Macaca fascicularis: one gene and its partners. The protein of the gene in region 1 purifies or fractionates together with the protein of each later gene. This does not show direct contact. Links are inferred from orthologs where the notes say so. Each region holds a gene or a part of one and is shown in the gene's direction. Other genes may lie near its edges.

The links.
Region 2: the proteins of DNAJC7 (region 1) and STUB1 purify together in Homo sapiens (affinity purification with mass spectrometry; 3 studies listed by BioGRID and IntAct, with this or other methods). This does not show direct contact. The link is inferred for Macaca fascicularis from reciprocal best matches to the Homo sapiens genes DNAJC7 and STUB1.
Region 3: the proteins of DNAJC7 (region 1) and BAG5 purify together in Homo sapiens (affinity purification with mass spectrometry; 4 studies listed by BioGRID and IntAct, with this or other methods). This does not show direct contact. The link is inferred for Macaca fascicularis from reciprocal best matches to the Homo sapiens genes DNAJC7 and BAG5.
Region 4: the proteins of DNAJC7 (region 1) and STIP1 purify together in Homo sapiens (affinity purification with mass spectrometry; 4 studies listed by BioGRID and IntAct, with this or other methods). This does not show direct contact. The link is inferred for Macaca fascicularis from reciprocal best matches to the Homo sapiens genes DNAJC7 and STIP1.
Region 5: the proteins of DNAJC7 (region 1) and DNAJB1 purify together in Homo sapiens (affinity purification with mass spectrometry; 3 studies listed by BioGRID and IntAct, with this or other methods). This does not show direct contact. The link is inferred for Macaca fascicularis from reciprocal best matches to the Homo sapiens genes DNAJC7 and DNAJB1.
Region 6: the proteins of DNAJC7 (region 1) and VPS13B purify together in Homo sapiens (co-immunoprecipitation; 3 studies listed by BioGRID and IntAct, counting the BioPlex papers as one, with this or other methods). This does not show direct contact. The link is inferred for Macaca fascicularis from reciprocal best matches to the Homo sapiens genes DNAJC7 and VPS13B.
Region 7: the proteins of DNAJC7 (region 1) and IFT122 purify together in Homo sapiens (co-immunoprecipitation; 3 studies listed by BioGRID and IntAct, counting the BioPlex papers as one, with this or other methods). This does not show direct contact. The link is inferred for Macaca fascicularis from reciprocal best matches to the Homo sapiens genes DNAJC7 and IFT122.

What each region holds. Positions count from the first base shown.
Region 1 is NC_088390.1:63,034,846-63,038,359, reverse strand, and holds part of DNAJC7 (dnaJ homolog subfamily C member 7), read left to right. Parts: intron 1-1,236; coding exon 1,237-1,355; intron 1,356-2,066; coding exon 2,067-2,220; intron 2,221-2,722; coding exon 2,723-2,887; intron 2,888-3,514. UniProt on the Homo sapiens protein: Acts as a co-chaperone regulating the molecular chaperones HSP70 and HSP90 in folding of steroid receptors, such as the glucocorticoid receptor and the progesterone receptor.
Region 2 is NC_088394.1:1,434,357-1,438,549, forward strand, and holds STUB1 (E3 ubiquitin-protein ligase CHIP), read left to right. Parts: upstream 1-1,392; 5' UTR 1,393-1,514; coding exon 1,515-1,673; intron 1,674-2,017; exon of another isoform or gene 2,018-2,159; coding exon 2,160-2,358; intron 2,359-2,445; coding exon 2,446-2,611; intron 2,612-2,664; exon of another isoform or gene 2,665-2,803; coding exon 2,804-2,891; exon of another isoform or gene 2,892-3,030; coding exon 3,031-3,087; exon of another isoform or gene 3,088-3,174; coding exon 3,175-3,498; 3' UTR 3,499-3,758; downstream 3,759-4,193. UniProt on the Homo sapiens protein: E3 ubiquitin-protein ligase which targets misfolded chaperone substrates towards proteasomal degradation.
Region 3 is NC_088381.1:171,733,452-171,737,477, reverse strand, and holds the start of BAG5 (BAG family molecular chaperone regulator 5), read left to right. Parts: upstream 1-1,224; 5' UTR 1,225-1,881; coding exon 1,882-1,979; intron 1,980-2,688; coding exon 2,689-4,026. Other genes in the region: COA8 (cytochrome c oxidase assembly factor 8), read right to left, coding at 752-874. UniProt on the Homo sapiens protein: Co-chaperone for HSP/HSP70 proteins. It functions as a nucleotide-exchange factor promoting the release of ADP from HSP70, thereby activating HSP70-mediated protein refolding.
Region 4 is NC_088388.1:10,210,740-10,214,841, reverse strand, and holds the start of STIP1 (stress-induced-phosphoprotein 1), read left to right. Parts: upstream 1-1,302; 5' UTR 1,303-1,360; coding exon 1,361-1,369; intron 1,370-1,503; exon of another isoform or gene 1,504-1,618; intron 1,619-2,263; exon of another isoform or gene 2,264-2,463; intron 2,464-4,102. UniProt on the Homo sapiens protein: Acts as a co-chaperone for HSP90AA1. Mediates the association of the molecular chaperones HSPA8/HSC70 and HSP90.
Region 5 is NC_088393.1:14,953,348-14,957,565, reverse strand, and holds the start of DNAJB1 (dnaJ homolog subfamily B member 1), read left to right. Parts: upstream 1-1,404; 5' UTR 1,405-1,450; coding exon 1,451-1,661; exon of another isoform or gene 1,662-2,178; intron 2,179-2,748; coding exon 2,749-3,329; intron 3,330-3,627; coding exon 3,628-3,858; 3' UTR 3,859-4,218. UniProt on the Homo sapiens protein: Interacts with HSP70 and can stimulate its ATPase activity. Stimulates the association between HSC70 and HIP. Negatively regulates heat shock-induced HSF1 transcriptional activity during the attenuation and recovery phase period of the heat shock response.
Region 6 is NC_088382.1:108,641,000-108,645,127, forward strand, and holds the start of VPS13B (intermembrane lipid transfer protein VPS13B), read left to right. Parts: upstream 1-1,328; 5' UTR 1,329-1,372; exon of another isoform or gene 1,373-1,748; intron 1,749-1,838; 5' UTR 1,839-1,867; coding exon 1,868-2,014; intron 2,015-4,128. UniProt on the Homo sapiens protein: Mediates the transfer of lipids between membranes at organelle contact sites. Binds phosphatidylinositol 3-phosphate. Functions as a tethering factor in the slow endocytic recycling pathway, to assist traffic between early and recycling endosomes.
Region 7 is NC_088376.1:153,914,058-153,917,571, reverse strand, and holds part of IFT122 (intraflagellar transport protein 122 homolog), read left to right. Parts: intron 1-550; coding exon 551-688; intron 689-2,299; coding exon 2,300-2,464; intron 2,465-3,514. UniProt on the Homo sapiens protein: As a component of the IFT complex A (IFT-A), a complex required for retrograde ciliary transport and entry into cilia of G protein-coupled receptors (GPCRs), it is required in ciliogenesis and ciliary protein trafficking.

The sequences.
Region 1 (3,514 bases):
TAGTGTCCCCTCAAACTTGTCCTCTCTTTGCCCAGTTCTCACTCCCCTAAGCTAACCACTGTTCTTATGTCTTCTATTTGCTTCTGTAGTTTTGTTGTACATATATAAAATAAAGATCCTGGATTTTCTACCTTTACCTTGCATGAAAGATGTATGCTTTTTGGCAGTTCTGCACCTTTAAAAAAAAATTACTGAATAGGTCTTGGAACTCTTTCCATATTAGTACATGAAGAGCTTCTTTATTTTATTTTAGAACTACATAGTATTCCATTATATGAATGTCCACATTATCTAACCAGTCTCCTGTTGATGGAATTTGAATTTTTCTGCTTGTAAGTTTTCAGAGTTTATCTCTTCTTGATCCCCATGGCCAGATTCTTAGAGGGAATAGGTGTCCTTTAACTCCACATTTCTCCTTTGGTTCATTTATTCTTGGAGTGAGTGTGATTCAGCAAGGCTCTCCCAGGAATAAATAGCAACTAAACCAAAACTGAAAGCTCAGAGGACAAACTAGTAAAAAGATGCTTTATGAGGCTGAAAGAGTAAATTAATCCCCACCTTTTTGTGTGTGTGAGAGCTACTTGGCTTGTGGTTTGTATAGTGGCATGCTGGGAATAGTAATCTGATATAGCCTGTTTAGAGCCATTTAAAATAACTATTTTAAGGCTGGGTGTGATGGCTCATGCCTGTAATCCCAGCACTTTGGGAGGCCGAGGAGGGCAGATCACAAGGTCAGGAGATCAAGACCATCCTGGTTAACATGGTGAAACCCTGTCTTTACTAAAAATACAAAAAAAAAATCAGCTCGGCACGGTGGCGGGCGCCTGTAGTCCCAGCTGCTCAGGAGGCTGAGGCAGGAGAATGGTGTGAACCCGGGAAGCGGAGATTGCAGTGAGCCGAGATCGTGCCACTGCACTCCAGCCTGGGCAACAGAGCGAGACTGTGTCTCAAAAAAAAAAGTTATAATATTGCCTATTTCACAAATTGTTGTTGTGAGGATTAAATGGGTTCATATACAAAGTCACCCAATAAATGTTCACCATCATTATCCTCTGGAATCTTTGCTCTCCTCATTTCAGTGCGTTTATTTAGTGAATTAGGTATGTTTTTAAACTTTGATATTACTTAACAGTGGACCCAAAGACTTCTTTGAGCTTTGAGTCTGTTTCCTGTGACTAAACTGAAGATGTTTCTGGAGTCCCTGATGAAGAGCCTTATTTGTTTTCTTCCCCACAGGTTGTTTTCTGCATGGACCGTGCCCTAGAATTTGCCCCTGCCTGCCATCGCTTCAAAATCCTCAAGGCAGAATGTTTAGCAATGCTGGGTCGTTATCCAGAAGCACAGTCTGTGGCTAGGTATGCAGTCAGGCCAGTTGGGCATTAAAATGCCGGATACCATTGGTCTGATGGTGTCCGGCAGCTTCACCACAGGATATGGTCCCCAGAGCAGGCCAGCTAGGGCTGATGAGACCCTCTTAAGACTTAAAGTCAAAGATTAGACCAGCTTTGAAAACCCATAGGGTATACAGGAGTATAATAGTATAGCAGGTACTATCTACGAAAGAACAGATTGTGTTACGTGAGTTTTTTGTAGTTTTTGTTTGTTTGTTTAAGGTAGTCTTTTCCTTCTACTCCACTGGTTAGCAAACTTTCTGCAAAGGGCCAGATTTTAGCCTTTGCAGGCCACAGTGTCTCTGTTGCAACTAACTCAACTCTGCCATTGCAGTGCAAAGGCTGTCCTAGATAATAGATGAACCAATAGATGTGGCTGTTTCAATAGAGTTTTATTTACAAAAACCAGTGGCAGAAAGGATTTGGCCCTGTGGGCTGTAGTTTGCCAAACCCTGTTCTAGTTTAATGAGGATTGTAAGACACAAGATGTGTTTTAAAGATAATTATAGGTGGTTTATTTGGGGAAAGTTTGGGAACAGTTCTTGGGAATCTGTCTACCTTTGGATATTCTGAATGCCAGACACATGGTCAAGGAAAAAAAACTGGCCACAAATGGTAGTAATGGTGGGGACATTCTAAAGCACAGCTCAATGTGCCCTTTTCTGACTATTGCAGTGACATTCTACGAATGGATTCTACCAATGCAGATGCTCTATATGTACGAGGTCTTTGCCTTTATTATGAAGATTGTATTGAGAAGGCAGTTCAGTTTTTCGTACAGGCTCTCAGGATGGCTCCTGACCATGAGAAAGCCTGCATTGCCTGCAGAGTAAGTTCTAGTCACCAGACCTAACTGGGAAAGAAAGCTTCCTTTTGGGACCTTTAAGATGGCTAGAGGGGAAGGTTTTAGAATCACAGGGAATGTCATAGCCTTTCCTCCTGCTTTGCAAGCATGCTTGGTCTTTATTAGAAATGGTTTTAGGACTACTTTTATCTACCTAAAGGTAAATTTGATCATATAGGGTCAGATGCCTTTAATATCTAAGAAGGTTTTGTTTTGTTTTTCCCCTCAGTGAAGATAGATAGTAATACTTGCCCTGGGAAGTGGAGGCAGACCCAGTAACATAGGTCTTTTTGGTGACTCTTGGTTTCTCCTGTCCAGTCTGTAGAAAGCTCAAATGAGCAACAGATAGCCCAGATTGGGGGTTGGCGGGGCTCTGTGATGCTAAACTACCATAAGCCAAGAACTTGAAAATAGACTCTGGCTTCTCTGTGCAGTGGTCTGAGGCTTTGTGGATATGAACCGATCTTCCCCGTGCTTTTTTCTGTAGAATGCCAAAGCACTCAAAGCAAAGAAAGAAGATGGGAATAAAGCATTTAAGGAAGGAAATTACAAACTAGCATATGAACTGTACACAGAAGCCCTGGGGATAGACCCCAACAATATAAAAACAAATGCTAAACTCTACTGTAATCGGGGTACGGTTAATTCCAAGGTAAGCTCTTGATCTACATCTTGGGGCCTATAGATATATTTTTAAGGGACATCAAAGGGTCTTGGGAAATCTGCCCAATGAAGGTGAGCAAGATGAAAGAGGAAAAGTTGTTATGGTTAATAGCTTGTTGGGAACTCCCTTCCAAGAGGCAAGCTTTTGTCATCTCCATGGAATTTGAGGGCAGTTGGACAATTTGCAAGGATATTCTCACCTGTTCTTTAAGGTCCCTTTCCTCCAGTAAGAGAATGGCTAGGGGCTGTGGGATAATCTTAAGCAGCTACTGTTGCTTTTTTGTTGTTGTTTTGCTTATGCAAGTGATCATTTATTTTTTAGGAGTGATTTGGAGGAAGAGTATGAGGCAAGCTTGTTGTTTTTCTCCAGTGTAACTGATGGTCACCATGCACGGTTGAAAATGGCCTGAGTGCTTTTGTGGCCCTCCACAACATGAGAAACAAAAAGTAGACTCCTTGCCCTTGCAGAATTCTAGCAGTTAAAAATCAGAGTGATTTCTGATCCCTCTAGGTGGCCTCTGGAACAAAGGAGGGCAGGAAGCAGCCTGCTATGTCCATGTTTTCATTGGGCACTAACATGGTGTGGTAAAGGTAGTTTATCCTTGAAGACAAATGT
Region 2 (4,193 bases), on another chromosome or scaffold:
ACCTGGCCCAGGTACAGCAGGTAGTACCTGAGGGTGTACTGTGGGGCCGGCAGGCCGGGCACTGTGACCACTGCCTCATCTGACATGAAGGCCTCCATCTCGAGCTCCAGGCACCAGGACTGCTGTGAGCAGCGAGGAGAAGCAGCCAGACACCCCATCAGGACAAGCTCTGGCTCCGACTCCTGGTCCTAGAGACACACAAGGGCCCAGACTGTCTGCTTCACAGACAAGGACGCTTATGTACCCAAGTCGTGCCCACCCAACTCACCTGAGGCTGTGACTGTGGTGGGTCCACACCGCAGAGGGCAGACAGCTGGGTGACCGCGGCCCCCACATCTGGCAGGAGGCAGAAGGTGGTGGTCGAACAGTGCACAGCCAGCTCAGGGGGATTGGTGGTCACCAGATGCTGTGAGAAGCCAGGTCAGGGTGCCCGGCGTGGTGGACCCACAGGGAGGCCCCGCCCCCACGAAGACCCGCTCTGGAGGCCCCGCCCCGCCGATGCCACGCCCCGATGAAGACCCGCCCTACGGAGGCCCCGCCCTCGAGGCGGGCCGCACCTCGCCGCCAGCTTCCAGGCCAGCAGCCGCTCCAGCTCCCTGTCACATGCTCTCCGCTCTGCCCCTGATGGCCGCTGGCAACTCCTCCCGATACCTGGGGAAGGGCGGTGAGGGGAGGTCCGGCCACAGGGTACGCTCGCCCACCGATCCCTTTATCCCCTTCCACTCTACCAACGGCCCAGGGCTTCCAGCCGCACTCGGGGGTCCGCGCGCACCCGTAGGACCTCTCGATGGCGCTCCGGAATGGCGGCCCAGCGACTGCGGTCCTTACACCCAACAGCGCGGGAAGCCACTATGTTCACGCGGAGGGGCGGGGCCGGCTGCCGGGGGCGGGGCCGGCTGCTGGGGGCGGGGCTTCTGCGTAGGGGCTGGCTGCTGGGGGCGGGGCCTCTGGGTGGGGCGGCCTGTTGGGGGCGGGGCGTCTGCCGATGGGGCGGGCTGCTGGGGGCGGGGCTGGCTGCCGGGGGAAGGGCCTCTGGATGGGGCCCGCTGCTTGGGGAGGGGTCTCTGCGCGTTGCGGCGGGGGCGGAACGCCAGGTGGTCGGGACAGGCTGTTGGGGGAGTGCGCCCTCAGCGAACCAAGGCATCTCACTGGGAAAGTCGAATGTGTGTGGCGGTCGCCGCCGAGGCCGGTTCCGAAGAGGCCTCAGCAGGGCGGGCCAGGGCCTCCGCGAACGCCGACCCTTAAGAGCGCCGAGCGAGGGAACCGGAGTGTTCCTCCCAGCCCCCGACGCCGCGGGCCTAGCGTCCCCGTCCAGGCTGATTGGGCGCACGCGCGGCCCCACTCGCCCCCACCCGTGCGTCCCCGCTGGTCCCGCCCCCGGCCGGAAGTTCCGGCGGTGGAGCTGGGCCGGGCCCGAGAGGATCGCGGGTTCGGGCTGCGGGGCTCGGGCTGCAGGCGCTGGGCCGCCAGGCGCGGAGCTTGGGAGCGCAGCCCAGGCCGTGCCGCGCGGCGCCATGAAGGGCAAGGAGGAGAAGGAGGGCGGCGCGCGGCTGGGCGCTGGCGGCGGAAGCCCCGAGAAGAGCCCGAGTGCGCAGGAGCTCAAGGAGCAGGGCAACCGTCTGTTCGTGGGCCGAAAGTACCCGGAGGCGGCGGCCTGCTACGGCCGCGCGATCGTGAGTGCGCTCGCGCGGGAAGGGCGGCGGCGGCGGCGGCGGCGGCGGCGGCGGCGCCGGGGAGGGCCGGGCCCGTGCCCGGCTGGCCCCACCGAGGGTCTGGTTCCTCTGCGGGGCATGTCCTGGGCTCCTAAAGCCCAGCCGTGGTTCCCGAGCCCAGCGCCGGGTGTCGGAGAACGAGGGTGGGATGCTGGATGGAGGCCGGCCGGGTCGGGGGGAGGGCAGGGGCCCTCGCCCCTTGAGGCTCCCAGGTCCAAAGCCTGGACTCTCCAAAGATTTGGAAAACTTTACAAAACCAAGTGGAGTCAAGCGGATAGGCTCAGCCAGTACTCCACTGTCTGCAGATCCTTGGATCCAGGGGCTTTGACGACTGAGAAGCCTAGTTTCTTGATTCTAGCCAGAGCGCAGAAGCTGGGACGGGCCGTGGGACAGAGGGGGCGCGCTGAGCCTACACCCTCATGCGGCTGGCCCGGCCTTGGTCCCTAGACCCGGAACCCGCTGGTGGCCGTATATTACACCAACCGTGCCCTGTGCTACCTGAAGATGCAGCAGCACGAGCAGGCCCTGGCCGACTGCCGGCGCGCCCTGGAACTGGACGGGCAGTCTGTGAAGGCGCACTTCTTCCTGGGGCAGTGCCAGCTGGAGATGGAGAGCTATGATGAGGCCATCGCCAATCTGCAGCGAGGTTGGCTGACAAGCTGCCCGGTTGTGGGGCCCCTGGGGCCAGGCGGGTGGACTGGCCAGAGAGTGACCTGAAGCCCCCGTTCCCCAGCTTACAGCCTGGCCAAGGAGCAGCGGCTGAACTTCGGGGACGACATCCCCAGCGCTCTTCGAATCGCGAAGAAGAAGCGCTGGAATAGCATCGAGGAGCGGCGCATCCACCAGGAGAGCGAGCTGCACTCCTACCTCTCCAGGCTCATTGCCGCGGAGCGTGAGAGGTGGGACCCTCACCCCAGGTCGCCCTGTCTTGGGGTAATTCTGAATCACCAACTACCAACATGAGCGTTTATTGAAGGTTTTACTGGCGAGCAGAAAACGTGGGGAAGAAGCATGAATGTTAGCCCTGAGGTTGGGGTGTGGTCAGACATCTGGCCAGGTCCATCTCTTACTGGCTCCTGGTCAACCCCCAGGGAGCTGGAAGAGTGCCAGCGGAACCACGAGGGTGATGAGGACGACAGCCACGTCCGGGCCCAGCAGGCCTGCATTGAGGCTAAGCATGTGAGGGTGCCCCCCTCCCACATGTGGGTCTGTGTGTGTGCACCTGGCGTGGGAGCATCCCCGCCTTGTGTTGGGTCTGTGCCCCATGGAGGAGGGAGGTGGGGTGTCCCGCACAAGTGCAGTGCTCAACTCTTCACAGGACAAGTACATGGCAGACATGGACGAGCTCTTCTCTCAGGTGGACGAGAAGAGGAAGGTGAGTGTCTGTCACTTGCTGCGGTGGGTGGCAGGTGCTGGAGCAGTGCCCCTTCCCAGCCTCTGATCGTGTGCCCCTGTGCCACAGAAGCGTGACATCCCCGACTACCTGTGTGGTAAGATCAGCTTTGAGCTGATGCGGGAGCCGTGCATCACGCCCAGTGGCATCACCTACGACCGCAAGGACATCGAGGAGCACCTGCAGGTGAGGCTGCGGCTGGGGGAGCAGGGCCAGCAGCATGGTCCTGGGCCCACTGACTGCCCTCTGCCCTTCTTGTCACTGCAGCGCGTGGGTCATTTTGACCCCGTGACCCGGAGCCCCCTGACCCAGGAACAGCTCATCCCCAACCTGGCCATGAAGGAAGTCATTGACGCATTCATCTCTGAGAATGGCTGGGTGGAGGACTACTGAGATGCCTTGCCCTGCCCAGCATCCTGGTCCAGGAGAGCCCTGGGCGGAAGCCCTCCACCCCTGTACATAGTTTGTGTTGCTGGCCACCCTGGCCCCTTCCAAGTTCAAGTTCTGCTGTTGGGCTCTGGACTATTCCCCCTCTCAGCATAGCTCTTGCTGGGCCATGATTGTCCCCCTTTGTGGGCTGGAAAAGCAGGTGAGGGTGGGCTGGGCTGAAGCCACTGCCGACACTGTCTGTGTAATAAAATCCATGAGCACGAGATGGGACGTGCTGGTGTGTGGCAGGCATGCCTGCCAGCTGCTTTGGCTAGCCGAGGAAGGTGGAGATGAAGACGCTGGTGTCAAGGTTGAGTGTGGCATGCCACCAGCGGTCAGGGAAGTACAGCACCTGGTGGAGAAAAGGGGTGCAGCACAGATTAGCTGGGGGCCTCTGGCCTGGCCTGGCCCTCTCCTGCCAGCCACTGACCTCACCAGCCCGGATGGTACACTCCAGGGGCCGTGCAGACGGTGGCAGGGCTGGATATGTGTCCCGGAGCCAGGCCAGCGTGGTCTTGTTGGGGTGGAACTCTGGTGTCTTCTCAGGTGGGTAGAGGAACCAGCGCTGGGGGCAGGAGCAGCAGCGTCACCCTTGCCTGTTTTGGTCACCGAGCCCCAAGGCTCAACCCCAACCCTGTGCTGACCTTACGGCCGTAGAT
Region 3 (4,026 bases), on another chromosome or scaffold:
TTTTACACTTCTTTAATTATTGTTTAAACCAAGTTTTCCAGCCTCCTTCATTAGCCTGTTTGGTATTTGCATGCTTTGCTTGAATATTTTATCTCCAGCCCATTCCACACCGTTAGCCAACATTTTCATCTGACAGATGGAATCAAGGCCTAGGCCTCCTTTAAACAAAACATCCCTCCCAAAAGTATGACTTAGAAAAATTGCTTGCCACTCTTTCTTGCTACAGACATTCTTTGCGGATCTTTGGCCAGTAACATGCATATACCCACACATAGTTTGCAAATAAGAACAACTATTGAACGTGAAGTGCTACAAAAGTACGATGATAAAGTATAAAGTGTTCACCGCTTGAATAAAAGCTCTAATAATTTTAACAAAGCCAAAACACACACACACACACACACACACACACACACACACACACACACACAGACCACGAAAAAAAAATGCACGCTAAGCCAAGAGCTCTTTAAATATAAAAAATAATCATTCTCGGGAACAAATAAGACTCTTATGCTTAAAGGTTCTGGCTGTCAACAGTCTCCGGCGTGGCGGCGGCACCCTCAGTCCCATCCGACCGAGAGCCCTGACGCGGAAGCCTTGGGGCTGCGGGACTGTTCGGGATCGGACGCGAGCGCACCTGCAGAAAGGCCTGAGGCGGCTGTGCATGGCAGGCAGCTGCCCCGAGGCCCCGGTTTGTCTTTCCTTCCGGTCACCCCTCCCGGCCCAATATCCCCAGGCGCTTGCTTACGCCGCTGGGCGCCGTATCCCTGCGCTCGGCGCCGCGCTCCGGAGCGAGTTGACAGCCGCGGCAGACGAAGGAGCGGCTGAGAGCGCGGAGAAGACTCTTCTTCCCCGCCCGCAAGGCCACCATGGCCCCACGCCCCCTGGCTCCCGCGGCGCACGGCAGCATTGCGACGGCGCGAGAGGCCGCTTTACGGCAGGGTCGCGAAGCCCGAGGGAGGGCGGCGGTGCGGCCGACCGTGCGCTTTCCCCGCGGTACGACGGCCTACGGGAGCGGCGGGCGGCGCGGGCTGACCCGGGCGGCCGCTCCTTGGTCGCTGTCACTCCAAGTTGCCTTGCTGCGCCGCTGGCGGTGGGCTTGGCGCTGTCGGCGGCTAGGCGCGGACGCCGGAGGAGGTGTCCCCGGGTTTAGGGGTGTTCGGCCAGGGGCGTGGGCTGGCTGGCCCGGGCGACGGCCGGAGCTGCGGAAGTCGTGGAAGCGTCGGCGACGCATCGCGCGATGGCGCGGGCGGGACAGGTGAGCGAAGCGCGGCGTGTGGCCTTTTCCCTCCGTCGGGGGGACGAGTGGGGCCCCCCGTCCGCGCGGGGCTCCCCGCTGGACCACCTTTCTGCCAGCGCCCACCCCAGCGCGGCCTGTCGGCACAGGCCGAGCAGAGTTGGTCTCGGCGCCGTCCCCGTCCCTGGCTCGGACGCTGTCCAGGGGTGGTCGGGCCTGGTCTCTGGTGTCTCCGGCGGGGCCTTGGCTCCCCTCCTTCCCCGGCTTCCCCCGGCCGGGCCGAGGGCCCCTCGCGCGCCCATTGTGAGGTCAGGGCCTGCGGGCGCGCCCTGGCACCTAGGCCGAGACGCCCGGAGCGGCTGCTGCAGCCAGTAGCAGCCCCTTCACCGCCGGCCCCTTCACCGGCTGCCCCGCTCAGACCTAGTCGGGAGGGGCGCGAGGGATGCAGCTGGGGGCCCAGCTCCGGTGCCGCACCCCGTAAAGGGCTGATCTTCCACCTCGCCACCTCAGCCACGGGACGCCAAGATCGCAGCCAGCTCAGACCTCTTCTGGGTAAAGAGCCAAGAGGGAAGGGCGAGGCGGGGAGGAAGGAACTCGGGCCGCCTGCCCTCCGTGGCCTCCAGAACATCCACAGGGGATGGATGATGCGTTTCCATTGGTTACCCACCTTGAGCGAGCCGTTTGATAGAAACCAAGAGCTTGAAACGTGCATTAGGCGATTGTGGACTCTCAGTGGGAGGCGAGTGAATGAATTATTCAGTTACCACATTTTCGCAGGTTGTAGTTTTTTGAGACAGTGGAGCATGTTGGGGGCTGAGGAGGTGCTGGGCCTCGAAAGCCCAAGGTGGTGCCCTTCAGCGCAATCCCCGTCCCTCTTCTTTACCTGTGGGGTTTTTATCTCTTCGGGGAGACATCTGGGAGGGAAGATGTGTGAGGAGCTAAAAGGGTGGGGAGGGGAAGTGCACAAAGGGAAGAAGCGGGAACTTGGGGATATCTGAGAGCCACTGGTTTTTGTTCTACTGGTTCAGTTTATTTTGCTTAGAGTTTCTGGAAACTAGGCATAGCTGTGTGGCGGGGCGGGGTACTGTTAGTGTTCGGAAGGTTACAAGAGCTACTGTTTCACCTTGCATAAAGGTGCCCTGCCGGTTCCAAATAGTTTGTGCGGCGTACGGTGACTCACACCTTAATCCCAGCACTTTGAGAGGCGGGGGCGGGCGGATCGTCTGAGACTAGCCTGGGCAATATAGTGAGACTTGTCTCTACTAAAAATAATAACATTAGCTGGGCGTGGTGGTGTACGCCTGTAGTCCCAGCTACTGGGGAGGCTGAGGTGGGATGACTGCTCGAAAGTATGCCTTTTTAAAATGAGAATTTTAGAATGACTTAGTATACCATTAGTGTTCTGCAGAAGCCTTGTGCTGTAATAAGTTATTCTTGTCATCTTTTAGTGCTTGTGAAACTGAACACAACAAAAGTATGGATATGGGAAACCAACATCCTTCTATTAGTAGGCTTCAGGAAATCCAAAAGGAAGTAAAAAGTGTAGAACAGCAAGTTGTCGGCTTCAGTGGTCTGTCAGATGACAAGAATTACAAGAAACTGGAGAGGATTCTAACAAAACAACTTTTTGAAATAGACTCTGTAGATACTGAAGGAAAAGGAGATATTCAGCAAGCTAGGAAGAGGGCAGCACAGGAGACAGAACGTCTTCTCAAAGAGTTGGAGCAGAATGCAAACCACCCACACCGGATTGAAATACAGAACATTTTTGAGGAAGCCCAGTCCCTCGTTAGAGAGAAAATTGTGCCATTTTATAATGGAGGCAACTGCGTAACTGACGAGTTTGAAGAAGGCATCCAGGATATCATTCTGAGGCTGACACATGTTAAAACTGGAGGAAAAATCTCCTTGCGGAAAGCAAGGTATCACACTTTAACCAAAATCTGTGCGGTGCAAGAGATTATCGAAGACTGCATGAAAAAGCAGCCTTCCCTGCCGCTTTCCGAGGATGCACATCCTTCCGTGGCCAAAATCAACTTTGTGATGTGTGAGGTGAACAAGGCCCGAGGGGTCCTGATTGCACTTCTGATGGGCGTGAACAACAGTGAGACCTGCAGGCACTTATCCTGTGTGCTCTCAGGGCTGATCGCTGACCTAGATGCTCTAGATGTGTGCGGCCGGACAGAAATCAGAAATTATCGGAGGGAGGTAGTAGAAGATATCAACAAATTATTGAAGTATCTGGATTTGGAAGAGGAAGCAGACACGACTAAAGCATTTGACCTGAGACAGAATCATTCCATTTTAAAAATAGAAAAGGTCCTCACGAGAATGAGAGAAATAAAAAATGAACTTCTCCAAGCACAAAACCCTCCTGAATTGTACCTGAGCTCCAAAACAGAATTGCAGGGTTTAATTGGACAGTTGGATGAGGTAAGTCTTGAAAAAAACCCCTGCATCCGGGAAGCCAGGAGAAGAGCAGTGATCGAGGTGCAAACTCTGATCACGTATATTGACTTGAAGGAGGCCCTTGAGAAAAGAAAGCTGTTTGCTTGTGAGGAGCACCCATCCCATAAAGCCGTCTGGAACGTCCTTGGAAACTTGTCCGAGATCCAAGGAGAAGTTCTTTCATTTGATGGAAATCGAACCGATAAGAACTACATCCGGCTGGAAGAGCTGCTCACCAAGCAGCTGCTAGCCCTGGATGCTGTTGATCCGCAGGGAGAAGAGAAGTGTAAGGCTGCCAGGAAACAGGCTGTGAAGCTTGCCCAGAATATTCTCAGCTA
Region 4 (4,102 bases), on another chromosome or scaffold:
GAGACAAGCTATTGGCAGAGAGGACACACTTTAAACCCTGGGAAGATGGCATTACCCAGAGAGGGGGAAGGATGAGGACACTGCAGAGCCCAAGACCATTGCCAGACCCGAGTCATGCGGCTCCTTTGTTCCAGGAACCACAGCTGACTCTAGAAGCAATAGCAGCATTTTCACTCCGCAGGTGCATCTCTTCCACGCTTTGGGGTGCCTGCCCTGACTCTGACTTCTGGGGCTGGGATTTAAGGCTCTACCAGGCCACAGTTAGCCAGCTCATAGGCGGTTAACTACCTGATTCAGCTCTTCGTCTCTTTCACTCCTTTACATCGGACTCACGAGGGCTGGGGGACAGCTCCCTTTCGCTAAGTACTTTCCGCGTGCTAAACACCGCACGAATTCCCCTCGGCCCTACAGGACCAAACGACTCAGAGAGGGTGTGCGGTTCCACTGAGGACGCCCAGCAGAACAGCCGCACCCGCCGCGATGAGATCCCCTGCCTGTCCAGCCCAAGCCCAAGCGCCCTCGCGGTCACGTGGCATTTCTGGAACCTAACAGCCAGAATGCAGGAGGGCCAGGCCGAGGCCGCAGCGCTGAACAACGCGCGCAACTGGCGGTCGAGGACCACGCAGCGCGACCGGCTAGGACCTCCATCTCGATGCGTGGGCGAAAGGCTGGGGCCCTGTGCCGCTGGCGATCCCGGGGACCGCCTGGAACTCGCGGCACTAGGGATCCAGATGGAAAGTAACCCACAGGCACCGCAGCCGCCGGAGACACGGCTACAGTACCGGACTACGGCCGAGACTGCCATATGCCACGGGCGGGGCGAAACCCAGCCTTTTGAAAGGCAGCGATTTAAACCAATCAGCGCAGAGGGTTGGCAACCCTCCGCCCAATTGGAATCGCTCTCATTCTGAAGGCGGTTCCGACTTGGAGTCCGGCAGCCCAATGGGAGAGGTGGAAATTTCCAGAACGAACGGAACCAATGGGCGCGGCCAGCGCGGCTACGATTGGCAGAGCAAAAGACCAATCTGTGTCGCAGAAGTCCGCTCCTCCCTCCGTTCGTGCAGCCTGAGATGGGTGGGTTTATAGAGCGGCGTCCAATCCTGAGGTGCGGGGGAGGCAGGGTTGAGGGAATCACTCCCCGCTGTCCAATGAGAGGGAAGTGGAGATGATGGGCTGGACCTCAAGCCAGTAGTAGAACAGCACAGAGAGCCCCCTAGAAGTACTCGACCAGTGAGCAGGCGAGGAAGGGGCGGGAGCCGGGGTCCCGGCAGCTTCTAGTAGGTTCCAGAAGGCGGCGCGTGCGGTTGGGATCGCGGAGCGGACGGATTCGATTCAACGGGGTTCCGGGCCGCGCTGCGCTATGGAGCAGGTGAAGGGGGAGGGGCGGGCTGAGGCCCCGAGACCGCTCGGGGACCGGCGGAGGCCAGGCCCGCGGTAGGGGGCGGGGCGGGTGCCAGATCTGGGCGACCGGAGCTGGGTGCTGGAGCCGGACGGGGCGGCGGCGGGGAGGCGAGGGCCGCGGGCGGCGGGCGGGAGCGGGATCTGTAGAGGCCGGCCGCGGGGAGCGCCCATCGCCCCTTGGTTGGGCGAAGAGGGCCGGGAGGAGGCCACAGCTTGGGTGAGTCCGGCCGGCGGCGGGAAGAGGGGCCGCGACCGGGCCCTGAAGGTGTCCCGAAGGGGCTGCTGCAGGCTATGCTGGGGAGGGTGCGGGCCGCAGAGGGCGGGGTGGAGTTAGGCCAGGGGCCGGGGTCGGCACCCGCGAGGTAGCGCTCCGGGAGATCTGAGACAGCCGACGGAGAAACCGCTCGGACTTAGCCACGAGGAACTTGGACGGATCCAGGGAGCGGGGACGGGAATACACTGGGTCTTAGCAGCCTGAGATCCAGTTGGGGCAAATCTTACTCTTCTGCATCTGAGAATGTGAGGGTGGGAGAGCGTTGAGCGGGGATTTGAGGAGCTACAGAGCGAGTGTAGCTGATGCAGTAAAGGGAAGGGTGCCGCAAAAGTCCTTGGAACGAATTCCATCTCTGACAGTGGTTTACAAATGTATTGCGGCCCCTCCCCCTCTTTTTGTATGCGTGTGTGTGATTGTCGAGTGACCGAGGACCGACACTTCCGAAAGGTGGATTTCTAGCTACACTGGGGCGGTTGTAGACAATTTGCAGAGATTAACCGCTAGAAGTTATGGGCCTCTGTTGAGCATTTGGGGGGCAGAGTTTGAAGCGGCTGCTGCTTCCTTTCAGTGACTTGGTTATGTCCTCAGTAGCTTGTGGTTGTGAAAGGCCTAGAGATTTTGTTCCATTGGAAGCTGTCATTGAGCTATAATGATTCATCGGAAGAAAAAGAACAAAACAACCTCCGAGAAACCTCTACCAACATCTGAGAAATCATCTGCTCGAGAGTACTACCCTCGTCGCTCCGGGCCCATAACACTTCGGGGTGACAGTTCTGAAACTATACCTGGTATTTGGTTCTTACTTCAGATCCATAAAACTAAGATTGCCCACACGCTCCCCTTAAGTAAGACATCTCGATGGACTAGTGACTACCACCCTTTTTTTGGTGGAGTTCCAGAGCTGAGCCTTTGGTCTCTTGTAGCAGTTGCTGCTTTAGGCAAAGCTCGAGCTTCCTTGCTGTATTAAAAAGAGTGGAAATGAAGTTAATAAACTTTTTGTGCCCATATAATGCTTCAGTTGTGTCTAGGATTAAATGGGCTGTATTATAGGTGAGGAAAAATTTTCTGGAATAAGACATTGCTCTTTTACTTTTAAGAAAGGATCTCGGCTGGGTGCAGTAGCTCGCACGTATAATCCCCAGCACTTTGGGAAGCCAAAGCGGGCGAATCACCAGAGGTCAGGAGTTCGAGACCAGCCTGGCCAACATGGTGAAACCCCCTCTGTAATAAACGTACAAAAATTAGCGGGGCATGGTGGCGCATGCCAATAATCCCAGCTACTGGGGAGGCTGAGGCAGGGGAATCGCTTCACCCCTGGAGGCGTAGGTTGCAGTGAGCTGTGATTGTGCCACCACACTCTAGTCTGGGCGACAGAGTGAGACTCCGTCTTGAAAAAAAGAGAAAGGACCTCTTTCTGCTGTTACCAAATTTATTTTTTATTTTTTAGAGACAGGGTCTGGTTCTGTGGCCCAGGCTGAAGTGCACTGGTGGGATCATAGCTCACTGCAGCATCAAATTCCTGGCCTCAAGCGATCCTCCTGCCTCAGCCTCCTGAGTAGCTAACCACACGCCACCACAACTGGCTAATTTTTAAATTTTTTGTAGAGACAGAGGTTTTGCTATGTTTCCCAGGCTGGTCTCGAATTTCTAGGCTCAAGCTATCCTTCAGCCTTGGCCTCCCACTGCATGAGCACTAGGATTACAAGCGTGAGTCACTTTGCCTGGTCTTAAAATGTTTGTTTTTAAATCACCACCACCCATGGTAGAAGTGTATGTGCAGATAGATAGATGGTGAATGAATATTTGACTTAGGACAGCAAACTGACATGGCGACTGTACAGATGACCTGGCATTTAACCCCAGGTGTGTTTGAGCCCACCATCTGGAAGCCATTCCTGAAAATAAACAAGACTTTGTTTTCATTTTCAACTGTGAGGTTTGTATTTCAGTTTAGAAAATACTCAAGTTGGTCTGGGTGCGGTGGCTCACACTTGTAATCCCAGCACTTTGGGAGGCGGAGGTGGGTGGATCATGAGGTCAGGTTGAGACCAACCTGTCCAGCATTGTGAAACCCCATCTGTAGTAAAAATTTAAAAAAAATAAAAAATAAAAAATCGCCCCGGGGGCGGTGGCTCACGCCTGTAATCCCAGCACTTTGGGAGGCCAAGGCGGGTGGATCATGAGGTCAGGAGTTCGAAACCAGCCTGGCCAATATGGTGAAACCGTGTCTCTATTAAAAATACAAAAATTAGCTGGGCGTGGTGGCATACTCCTGTAGTCCCAGCTACTTGGGAGGCTGAGGCAGGAGAATCGCTTAAACCCAGGAGGCGGACCTTGCAGTGAGCCGAGATTGTGCCACTGCACTCCAGCCTGGGTGACAGAGCAAGACTCTCTCTCAAAAAAAAAAAAAAAAAATTAGGTGAGCAT
Region 5 (4,218 bases), on another chromosome or scaffold:
GAGATCCGGCCACTGCACTCCAGCCTGGGCTACAGAGCGAGACTCCGTCTCAAAAAAAAAAAAAAAAAAAAAAAAAGAACGGGGAATATTTATGAGGTTCTCACTGCATTCCAGGCACTGGAGACCCAATGCAGACAGGACCTGGCCCCTGCTCAGGTGGCGATCTCAGACTGGGAGGGAGGACACATTGAAAGCCAAGAAACAAAATAAATTTCTAATTTAGCAGCAAGTGCTCTTGAAAGGGCAGTAAAGTGAAAAAGGCGGGACTGAGAGGACCTCGGGAGGTGAGCTTTCGCCCAGATCCTCACCTCGCTTTAGGAAGGGAGAACAGAGGCAGTCTTCTGTCCCAACATCCTTCTCCCCACAGTTGGGAAAATAGCGCTGGTGGATTCTTTGTTTGTTCATTTTGTTTTATTTTACTTATTTATTTATTTTATTTTGAGACGGAGTCTCGCTCTGTCGCCCAAGCTGGAGTGCAGTGCCCCGATCTCGGCCCACTGCAACCTCCGCCTCCCCGATTCAAGCTATTCTCAGGCCTCAGCCTCCTGAGTAGCTGGGATTACAGGTGCGTGCCACCACGCCCGGGTAATTTTTGTATTTTTAGCAGAGACGGGATTTCACCATGTTGGCTAGGCTGGTCTCGAACTCCTGACCTCAAGTGATCCGCCCACTTCGGCCTCCCAAAATGCTGGGATTACAGGCGTGAGCCCCCGCGCCCGGCCTGTTTGTTTATTTTAAAAAGAAACGGAGTCTGCTTATGTTGCCTAGGCTGGTCTCAAACTCCTAGGCCCGAGAGATTCTCCTGTCTTGGCCTCAGGAAGTGATGGAAATTACAGTCGTGAGGCTCCGTGTCAGGTTCTCTTATTGCCATATTGTAGAAAGAAAGAGACCCCTGGGTTAAGCAGACGCGGGTTAGGTTGTTCGTCCGGCGTCACCCGGCGGAGGCCCACCGCAGGTCCCGCGAGACAAGGGCTGGAAGGTTTATCACCTCCTGGGGAAAAGACAGGCTAGTCCCAGGCCCCACCCCTTCCCGGAACATCACCTTCGCGACGGCTCCTGACCCACTGACCCAGGCGGAGGGCGGGACGCAGGGTCGCTGGGGCGGTGCAGAGTGTGAAAGAAGCTCGCGATTGGCTCGTCCCGGAAGGTGGGCGGGGCCTCCTCCGACCTGTGCGCGCGCCGCCGGGAGGCGTTGTCGAGGGCGGAGCGGGAGGGGGCGTGGCCCCGCGCCGGCGGCCGTTGACGGCAAAGCGCCGCCCCGGATGTCGCGTGTCACGGAAAGGGTGGCGGCGATTGGCCGGCGCCGCGGGCGGGGGGGCGGGGCGGAAGGTTCTGGAGGGGGCTGGCGGGCTCTGGAAGCTTCCGCCGGACGGGTATATAGAGTCCGGGACCGGGCGGCGGCGTAGCCGGGGGACGGCGACAGCGGGTCGGCGGGCCGCAGCGGGGGGCCATGGGCAAAGACTACTATCAGACGCTGGGCCTGGCCCGCGGCGCGTCGGATGAGGAGATCAAGCGGGCCTACCGCCGCCAGGCGCTGCGCTACCACCCGGACAAGAACAAGGAGCCCGGCGCCGAGGAGAAGTTCAAGGAGATCGCCGAGGCCTACGACGTGCTCAGCGACCCGCGCAAGCGCGAGATCTTCGACCGCTACGGAGAGGAAGGTGTGTGCGCGCGGCCAGGGGCGCGGTCCCGCCGTTTGACAGGGAAACCGAGGCATACCGGCCCCTCTCGGCGGCCCCCCGGGAAGGACGCCCCGGGCCCGGGGGCCGAGCTGCCCCGCCCTCCGGCCGCTCGGGCCTCCGCCCTTGGATTGGCGGCCGTGCGGTGCGGGGAGGAGCCTTGGCCCAGCCGCTCGCCCAGAAGCTTCTAGCATGTCTAGGGCTGCCCCTCCCCGGGCGCCTCTTCCCGCGGCCCCGAGCAGCCCCGGGGTGCGGTGCAGGGGGGTGGGGGAGCCGGGGGTGACGACGGGAACGGCACGGCGGAGCCTGCTGCGGACCCGAGCTCACCTGGGCTTAGCCGCCGGGGTCCGCAGGGCGGCGCCTGCGGCTCAGCTGCGGGGCGCGGGGCTGTAAATGCAGGCGCCGATCCCGCTCGCGGGCCTTGGGGCTGGGCTGGGATGATTTCCGGGAAGTGATGACCTGGTCCCGGCCGAGCACGCAGGAGGCAGCGGCCGCCTAGGTGCGGAGAGCTGGGCCGCCTGGGGGTTTGGGGGGACGGAGAGTGGGGCTTTTTGTCCCTGTGCCCCTTGATGACTCAGGCTGGCTTCTGGGCTTGATCTGGGACTGACTTATTATGCAAGGATGGTGGCAGTGAATGCTAGTGTGAGGGTTTAAAAACTCTACATCTTTTTTTTTTCCTTATTTTCACTTTTCGTACACATCAGTAGTCCTAAAATGTTGAAAGTAAATACCGAAAGCCGACCCTGGACCGTGTGTGTTTAGCCATCCCTTGGTGACATTGCCAGGAGGATGGGTCAGTCCAGGAGTGGCAGGGCCCAGGTGGCACCTGTAGGTGGACACCTAACCGCATGAGTCCTTTTCCATTGTCAGGCTATGCGGAAGTACTTGGGGGGGGGGGCAGCTCTGCTGCTGCAGTGAGGGGTAGAAGCTTGGGGTTCTTCCTTGCTCTCCCCTGGCAGGCTAAAAAAAGTTCCTCCCCCATGGCCTCCAAGCTTTTTTCCCCCGTAAGGGAAGCTCGAGAGGGAGTCTGCTGTTCAGCCATCTGACTGCTTCTAATTCTGCTTTTCAGGCCTAAAGGGCAGTGGCCCCAGTGGCGGTAGCGGCAGTGGTGCCAATGGTACCTCTTTCAGCTACACGTTCCATGGAGACCCTCATGCCATGTTTGCTGAGTTCTTCGGTGGCAGAAATCCCTTTGACACCTTTTTTGGGCAGCGGAACGGGGAGGAAGGCATGGACATTGATGACCCGTTCTCTGGCTTCCCTATGGGCATGGGTGGCTTCACCAACGTGAACTTTGGCCGCTCCCGCCCTTCCCAAGAGCCCACCCGAAAGAAGCAAGATCCCCCAGTCACCCACGACCTTCGAGTCTCCCTTGAAGAGATCTACAGCGGTTGTACCAAGAAGATGAAAATCTCCCACAAGCGGCTAAACCCCGACGGAAAGAGCATTCGAAACGAAGACAAAATCTTGACCATCGAAGTGAAGAAGGGGTGGAAAGAAGGGACCAAAATCACCTTCCCCAAGGAAGGAGACCAGACCTCCAACAACATTCCAGCTGATATCGTCTTTGTTTTAAAGGACAAGCCACACAATATCTTTAAGAGAGATGGCTCTGATGTGATTTATCCTGCCAGGATCAGCCTCCGGGAGGTAAGGTGCCAGGTGGGGCGGTGTCTGCAGAGCGCGATGGCTGCTCTTTGAAGCAGTTTATTTAGGTTTTGCTGAACACGCATTGGGTGTGTGGCGCTTGCCAGGCTTGGGGCACCACAGTGAACAGGACTGATCAGGGTGCTGTTCTGGAGCTTTCATGGTGGAGACATGTCGATTTGGGGGCCAGGTGTTGGCTGCAGAGGCCTGATGAGTCTTACTCTATGCCAGATGGTCTCCGGGCAAGAGCTGAGCCTCTTGAGCCAGCTTCCATCTAATGCTTATCCCTTTGCTTTTCAAGGCTCTGTGTGGCTGCACAGTGAACGTCCCCACTCTGGACGGCAGGACCATACCCGTCGTATTCAAAGATGTCATCAGGCCTGGCATGCGCCGAAAAGTTCCTGGAGAAGGCCTCCCCCTCCCCAAAACGCCCGAGAAACGTGGGGACCTCATTATTGAATTTGAAGTGATCTTCCCCGAAAGGATTCCCCAGACATCAAGAACCGTACTTGAGCAGGTCCTTCCAATATAGCTGCCAGAGCTCCGACTGACCAGGGACCTTTCCAGAGCTCAAGGATTTCTGGACCTTTCTACCAATTGTGGACCATGGGAGGGCCCAGGGAGGACTTTCATACTGCTGAATGTTTTCCAGAGCATATATTACAATCTTTCAAAGTCGTACACTAGACTAAAGTGGTTTTTCGAGCGATAGGGCATCAGGTGGTGGGAACAGCAGGAAAAGGCATTCCAGTCTGCCCCACTGGGTCCGGCAGCCCTCCCGGGATGGGCCCACATCCTCCTCCTCCAGTCCCTGTCCAGGGGTAGAGGCAGACCAGCAGCTGGACTTGATCCCTCTGTGTCCCTTTGCTTTTGACTGGTAGATAATGTCGAC
Region 6 (4,128 bases), on another chromosome or scaffold:
TTGTTTTTCGACAGTCTCACTCTGTCGCCCAGGCTGGAGTGCAGTGGTGTAATCACGGCTCACTGCAGCTTCCACCTCTGGGGCTCAAGTGATCCTCCCACCTCCGCCTCCTTAGTAGCAGGGACTACAGTACAGGCACCATGCTCAGCTTATTTTTGTATTACTAATATTTTTGTAGAGACGGGTTTTTTCCATGTTGGCCAGACTGGTCTCAAGCAATTTGGAGGCCTTGGCCTCCCAAAGTGCTGGGATTACAGGTGTGCATCACCGCGCCTGACCAGGAGTCTAGTTTCAAAATGCAGTGGTAGGGGTTTTTTCAGCGCTAACCAAAAATAAGACAAGCTGGGCAAAACTTGGGCAGCATGTCCTATGCGATTCCTTTAAGCCCAGTATATATTTTCCGAGTTAATGTTTGAGTTTCTTGACTTTGTTAGCTTGCAAGCTATTATACGGAAAGGCAATATTTTATACACTCATTACAGCCTAATAAAACCAACACCGACCCTTACAACTCTGAATTCATTACTTATCAGTTATATTCACTTTGTCTCTAGAACTCTCAATTCCGTCTTCATTTTGGTTATTGCCGCAGCTTCCCTAAATCTCACGTCAGACTGCAATCCTATGGTTCCCCGCAATATTTTGACCATCCCTCCCCCGCCCCTCATCAGCAAACTAGGGAGTACTTCACCATTGCTTTGTGAAAGTAACAATGCGAGAGCTTGTCTATACGTTTGGCCAAAACGCGTCCTCCAACAGTGTACGTCCTAATCCCTTCATTTATCTTCCCACATCCACCCTCCTTCCAGCAAATAAACCTCGGAACTCAGTTGAAATCTGTCACTTACTTCGCTCCTCCTACCAGCGGCCTATTGCTTCTGCCCTCCCCAGTGAACCCAACCTAGTTCCTCTTCCCAGTCCTCCCATTTCTCAAGAAAGACAACCACCTGTTTTTTTCAGGGCTTTAAGTGCTAGGTGTGGTTTCTTCCTCCGCAACCAGCGACCCTCCGTGCCTCCCCACCCAGGACGGACCTCCACCTCGGGAACCGCCGACCGCGCAGCGGCCCCAGGACCCGCAGCCACCCTCTCCCCGGAGCACTACTTCCGGATCTCGGGTGTTTCCCCTTTACGGTTCCCTCCACCCGCTCAGACACCTCCTAGATCTTTATACTAACTAGCAGGGTCGCAGCTGGGACCCTGGCTAGCCGAACGCAACAGTTCTTCTCCACGAAGACGCGCAAAGTAGCTTCTCCAGCCTGAGAAATCCGGTCCGGCTGCGTAGAGTGGCGGCCGTGGAGGGACACTTTGTTTTGAACACCAAGTAGGGCACACCCGGAAGTGGCGCGGTACAGGAGCAGCGCTGCCGCCGGGGGTGGGTGCCAGGGACCTGGAGGTGGAGGGGACGCGGCGATACTCTGGCGTGTGAGCGGAGAGTGGAGTGCTGGGGAGCGGGAGCGGGAGCGGGAGGGGGGGCCTTCTAGCTTTCGTTCTATGGTGGCAGATCCGGCTGGGTTCCGGGAAGCGAGGGCCTCGCGGAGTGACTGGGTTGGTGAAGGGCTACTGCGGCCGAAGGGGAGTCCGCCTCACTTCATTCTTCCACTCTGAGGGACCCGCTCTCTTCTGGTCACTACATCTTCCTCCCTTACTTCGCTTGGCAAGGGGTGTTGTACTTGTGAGGAAGTCGCAGCTGGAGCTGGGAGTCCTCTTGAGTTTTCTCTGCTTCTAAGAGGAGGCGAACGGCCGCCTTGGTGGGGACTTACTGCTTTTGGCCTGAGATAACTAACGCTCTTTCCTTCACTATACGGCCGACTTACAACGTTTCTGTCTACTCCTTTCAGCTTCCGACTTTGACTCCTTACCTTAAAAGATGCTGGAGTCATACGTAACTCCGATTTTAATGAGCTATGTGAATCGCTACATCAAGAACTTAAAGCCGTCGGATCTACAGCTTTCGCTATGGGGTGGAGACGTCGTACTTAGCAAGCTCGAGTTAAAGTTGGATGTGCTGGAACAGGTAAGCTATGTAGCTGTCATGAACTGGAAACAGTTTTCAACTTGTTTAGACGGTAATCTGTTGTATCCTACGCCTTGACTTTGTGCTATAAAAACGAAACTTTTCTACTGATGTATTTTGAACTACCCTGAAACAAGGGAGGCTTATTTTACATTATTTTCTTTTTTTTTGAGATGGCGTCTTGCTCTGTCGCCCAGACTGGAGTGCAGCCGCGTGATCTCGGCTCTCTGCAACCTCCACCTCTGGGGCTCAGGCAGTTCTCCTGCCGTAGCCTCCCTAAGAGCTGGGATTACATGTGCGCACCACCACGCCTGGCTAATTTTTGTATTTCTAGTAGAGACGGGGTTTCACCATGTTGGCCAGGCTGGTCTCGAACTCCTGACCTCAGGTGATCCGCCTGCCTCGGTCTCCCAAAGTGCTGGGATTATAGGCGTGAGCCACTACGCCCGACCTGCATTATTTTTAAAAATAGTTTGTTCCCAGGTGACGGTATATTAGAATGGGATTACTTAAAGTTGCCTTGACAGAAAGACGATTTCATTGTTCATGTCAGAATTGTTCTATTTAGTCAATTTTCAAGCATTATGAATGTGCTAATTTATGTTGTCAAAATTCTGTATAAGCCTGGAAAATATTACATTCTCATTCTCCTTTTTGGGCAGTGGAAGGGTTTGAAGGCCATCAGGAAGTGTGGCTGGCTGGTGGGGGTTGAGGAAAAAAAGATTAAAAAAAAAAAAAAAGCAGGTTCAGATCATGAGGAAAGATGACATTTCCCACAGCATCCTCAGAGTGTTGAGTAGATACATTGAGAATGGCAGTAAAATTGGAAACTTCTTTATTAATCGTTTTAGTTTCTTTTAACATGAGATTGGTCTGATGCAAAAGAACTCTTAACTTCAAAGATCACGTATTCATTAATTCACTTATTACATTTATTAGTAACATATGCCAAGAAATTCTGTTAGGCTTGAGGATCTGTGCAAGCTCAGAAGAATCAGAGACCAAATGATTTTTAGGAGATAAGGGAAGACTTAATCTGACAGTGATAGTTATTGATAATTTTTAGGTATAGTCCACAGCCTCTTTTATTACTCTTTTATTAAGTCAGTCTAGACTTAACACCAAGAAATAATACTCCTGGCTGCTGCTTTTTCCTGTTTCCAAGGTTAGTTGAGTGGCTTAGTATTTTCATTTTCTTTTTTTTTTTTGATGAGCACAAATCCCAAGTATAACAGCTGAGTTTTTTTTTTTTTTGAGACAGAGTCTCGCTCTGTCGCATAGACTGGAGTGCAGTGGCGCCATCTCGGCTCACTGCAAGCTCCATCTCCCGGGTTCACGCCATTCTCCTGCCTCAGCCTCCTGAGTATAGCTGGGACTATAGGCGCCCGCCACTACGCCCTGCTAATTTTTTGTATTTTTAGTAGAGACGGGGTTTCACTGTGTTAGCCAGGATGGTGTCGATCTCCTGACCTCATGATCCGCCTACCTCAACCTCCCAAAGTGCTGGGATTACAGGCGTGAGCCACCGCGCCCGGCCAACAGCTCAATTTTAAAATGTTTTACACCTGTGCAACTACTGTCCAATAAAAAAATAGAATGTTTCCAGCACCCCAAAAGGTTCACCTGTTTTACTTTTAGTAAGTACTCCGGGCTGGGCGCAGTGGCTCATGCCTGCATTCCCAGCACTTTGGAAGGCCAAAGCGGGCAGATCATGAGGTCAGGAGTTCGAGACCAGCCTGGCCAACATGGCGAAACCATGTCTCTACTAAAAATACAAAAAATTAGCTGGGCGTGGTGGCATGCGCCTGTAATCCCAGCTACTCGGGAGACTGAGGCAGGAGAATTGCTTCAATCCGGGAGGGGAAGGTTGCAGTGAGCCAAGATCACGCCACTGGGCTCCAGCCTGGGCGACAAAGTGAGACTCCATCTAGGGTAGGGGGACGTACTCCCCATTCCTAAAAGAGGTGACTGGTAATCTGACTTCTGTCAACACAGATAAGTTTTACCTGGTTTTGAACCTCAAAAAAATTGGAATCACTTGTGTTTGGCTTTTTTCTTTCAACCTTTCTAAGATTAACCCCTGTTGTTAGAAGAGTTTGTTTTTCGTATTGTCA
Region 7 (3,514 bases), on another chromosome or scaffold:
AACAAACTGAGACCCCATCTCTACAAAAAAAAAATTATTTAATTAGCTGGGTGTGATGGTACTTGCCTGTAGTCCCAGCTACTTGGGAGGCTGAGGCAAGAGGATTGCTTGAGCCAGGAATTGGAGGCTGCAGTGAGCTATGATAGCGCCACTGCACTCTAGTCTGGGTGACAGTGAGACTCTGTCTCAAAAATCAATCAATCAATAATCAAAGTCTAGAACTTCAAGCGGTTTAGGGTTGCCACAAATTACAGGATACGTGTGGCAAGTGTGTGTACTGGCAAGTATGTGTACTTCTGAGTGCTGCCTCTGGCCTAGGCTGCCTGGATGGAGGTTTGCATTGAAAGTCTGAGGCTGAATTGGGCTCTGTGGGGAAGCCTTGCACGGAGTCTTGGATTAACGATGCCAATTATGGGGTCTACATTGGGTTAGATAGATAGATACTGAATGTGTAGGTATTTTCACACTTTAGGGGCAGGAAGACCTCCTTGGGGAGGGCTGGGAGCACTTATTCTGTTGAATTTCCATGAGATCTGGGTTTGCTTCTTAGGAGAAACGGCTGCAGTGCCTGTCCTTCAGCGGAGTGAAGGAGCGGGAGTGGCAGATGGAGTCTCTCATTCGTTACATCAAGGTGATCGGCGGCCCTCCTGGAAGGGAAGGCCTGTTAGTGGGGCTGAAGAATGGACAGGTGAGCACTCCCGCATGTCTCCTCTCAGGCTGATAATCTACATGCACACGTGGGTGACCCGTCTAGCAATGACTCTGAGCTGGGTTCTCAGGGCAGGAAAAGGGCTTCTCTCCTCCATGGTTGAATTGTGGGGCAGCCCTGAGTTCAGGTTTTGAGGACAGCCTCAGGCCAAAGGTGCTGTGGCTGTCACACTCATAGCAGGCCCATGTTTTGGCAGAGTTGAGCTATAACCTTTGGCTACATGTAAAGTGGATTAGTGGCTTAAGGTCACCAGAAGGTGGGAGATTTGTTAGAGATGCTGCTTCTGTGGATTTCTAGAGGGAGGCAGAGATTGTTACCTAGGTCAGCTCCCGATTAGGGCAGCGAGTGGATTAAGGCAGTGTATTCCAGCATGTGTCCTAGAGAATGCTGGGTCCTCAGGGTACTGATAGATGTCGTAAGAAAAATGAGCCCTTTGGCCAGTTAGATGTGGGATATCCAGGTTACACAAAGTTAAACAGATTTCTCTGTGTGTGTGTGTGTGTGTACATGTGTGTTCTTTACTCAGCATAAGAAAAGTTCTAAGTGGGCTGCCACATGGAACTTTGAAAGTGACAATGTAACTGCATTAGCCTGACAGCCAAGCTGTGCAGCAGATGGCTTATGGCTGAGGCTTGTCAGGTCTTTGCTGGGGACGGAAGTCACGGGGCGTGAGAGCAGTGAGTGAAGTCAAGCAGCAATGCCAAGGGGAGGAACGGCCGCTTCTTTCTCAGGCAGCTCTCACTTCCCGTGGGAGGATGGACTTGGGGGTCAGGTGAACCTGAGGTCATGTTCTTACTTAGCTACTCACTGGCTTTGTCATCCTGGGCAGGTCACTTTACTTCTGTGAGGCTGATTTTACATGAGGATAATACCACATATTTCATAGGACTGTCAAAACCAGATATCATCAAGGTTGGGAGTTAAAGCCAGTGTTAAAAAACAAAAAACAAACAAAAAACACCAGGGGTATTAAAGCAGGCATGGTGGTGGGTACCTGTTGTCCCAGCTACTCAGGAGGCTGAGGCAGGAGGATCACTTTGAGCCCAGGAGTTTAAGGCTGCAGTGTGATATGATTAAGACTGTGAATAGCCACTGCAGTCAGTCTGGGCAACATAGCAACACCTTATCTCTAAAAAAAATTTTTTTTAAACCAGGGATATCAGTAGATGATGGCTGTCATCATCATTATTATAATTCTCTACCACATGTCTTGTCAGTGTTCATAGTAGCCTTTTCCTGTGTTAGTTCGTGACTCAGATCTCTGCTAGGTGGCCTCTCCTAACGCTGCCATTTGGGTAATGTCATCAACAAATCCCCGGTCCGAACAGACACTGAAGTGAGCTTGGCCTGTCTCGGGGCTGTCATTACGTCTGCAGCCTCTGATGAACCTCGCTTCTGGCCTGCTGAGGATAAGCCAACGCGCCCACCACCCCCCCCCTTTCTTTTGAGGAGTCCTTTTCTCTGCACAGAACTTCTGGTGAAGGTGGTGGGAGTTGTTCTTACAGAGCACATGGGATTCTAGCGGCCTGGCAGTGGGCCAGGATCTTGTTGCCATGGTGACTGACACTGTTTTCACTGAAACGTTGCCAGATCCTGAAGATCTTCGTGGACAATCTCTTTGCTATCATCCTGCTGAAGCAGGCCACAGCCGTGCGCTGCTTGGACATGAGTGCCTCCCGTAAGAAGCTGGCCGTGGTAGATGAAAACGACACTTGCCTGGTGTATGACATCGATACCAAGGAGCTGCTTTTTCAGGTGATGTCCCCGAGGGGGCCCAGGGACATCATCCTTTGATTAGAGACCCTCCTCTAGCTTTCCAGCCCCTGCAGGAGGCTCTCCAGCTCTGGCCCTGGCAGGTCTCTGGGAGGAGCAGTGAGGAGCAGGGGCCAACCACATGTGCAGAGTCCCAGAGGCCCTGGGCCACAACCTGCTCCTCCCATGCAGGCACAAGCCGCAGGGCCTGGACCAGCCTCTTTAACTTTGGTTTCCTTGCCAATGGAAACCAAAGGCTCTGAGCCAGCAGAGCCTTTCTTACGCGTTTACCATGAACAAGAAATGGGGCCATGACTCTGAGAGGGGTGTGACGTTGGCACTCAGTGAATGGGGCGATGGATGCACTTCCTTTGCAGAAGTCTGCGTCTTACCTGTGCAGGCCTGCCTGTGTCTATGCGCACCTATCGCACAGGAAGGAAACAGGATCAGTTTTGATAGGGGGAAGGGAATGGGCAAGCCTTGCCTTCTGCTTAATTCACAAAAATGCTAGAAGATCCGGTAGAATGCGAAGTGCTTGGATCTTTGGGGGCCTAGGCATTGTTTGGTGGAGTCATCCAGCCCTGTGGCCTGAGGAAGTGTCACCAGAGAAGATAGCCCAGTAGCTCTGTGCCCAGGGCCTGGCTGCTTTTCGCTGGGCTCGTGCCATTCTTTATCTCTTTAGGTCTTTGTAGGTGGTCAGGACTGGTTTCCCGGAATGAAGTTCCCCCCAAAGCTGGAGCCCTTCCTGACTGGTTTCCTCGGCCACTGCAGGGTTTCCTCATGTTATGGGCATATTGAGTCCCCTTACCAGGCTCCTCCTTGTTCTCAGCAGCAGAATTGATAGGGGGAGGGTCCTGAAGTGGGGAGCAGCCTCTGTCAGTGAGAAGGGGTTACCTGGCCACCTCTAGCCCAGGGGTGACTCCCTGTCAGTCTCAACTCACTCATGTCCCAGAGAGAGTAGAATGGTTTGGGGGCAAGAGAGGGCACAGCCTTCAGGCTGACCTGGGCTTGGGTCCTGCCTGGATCCCTTACTGTGTGATCTTAAGTTAGTGA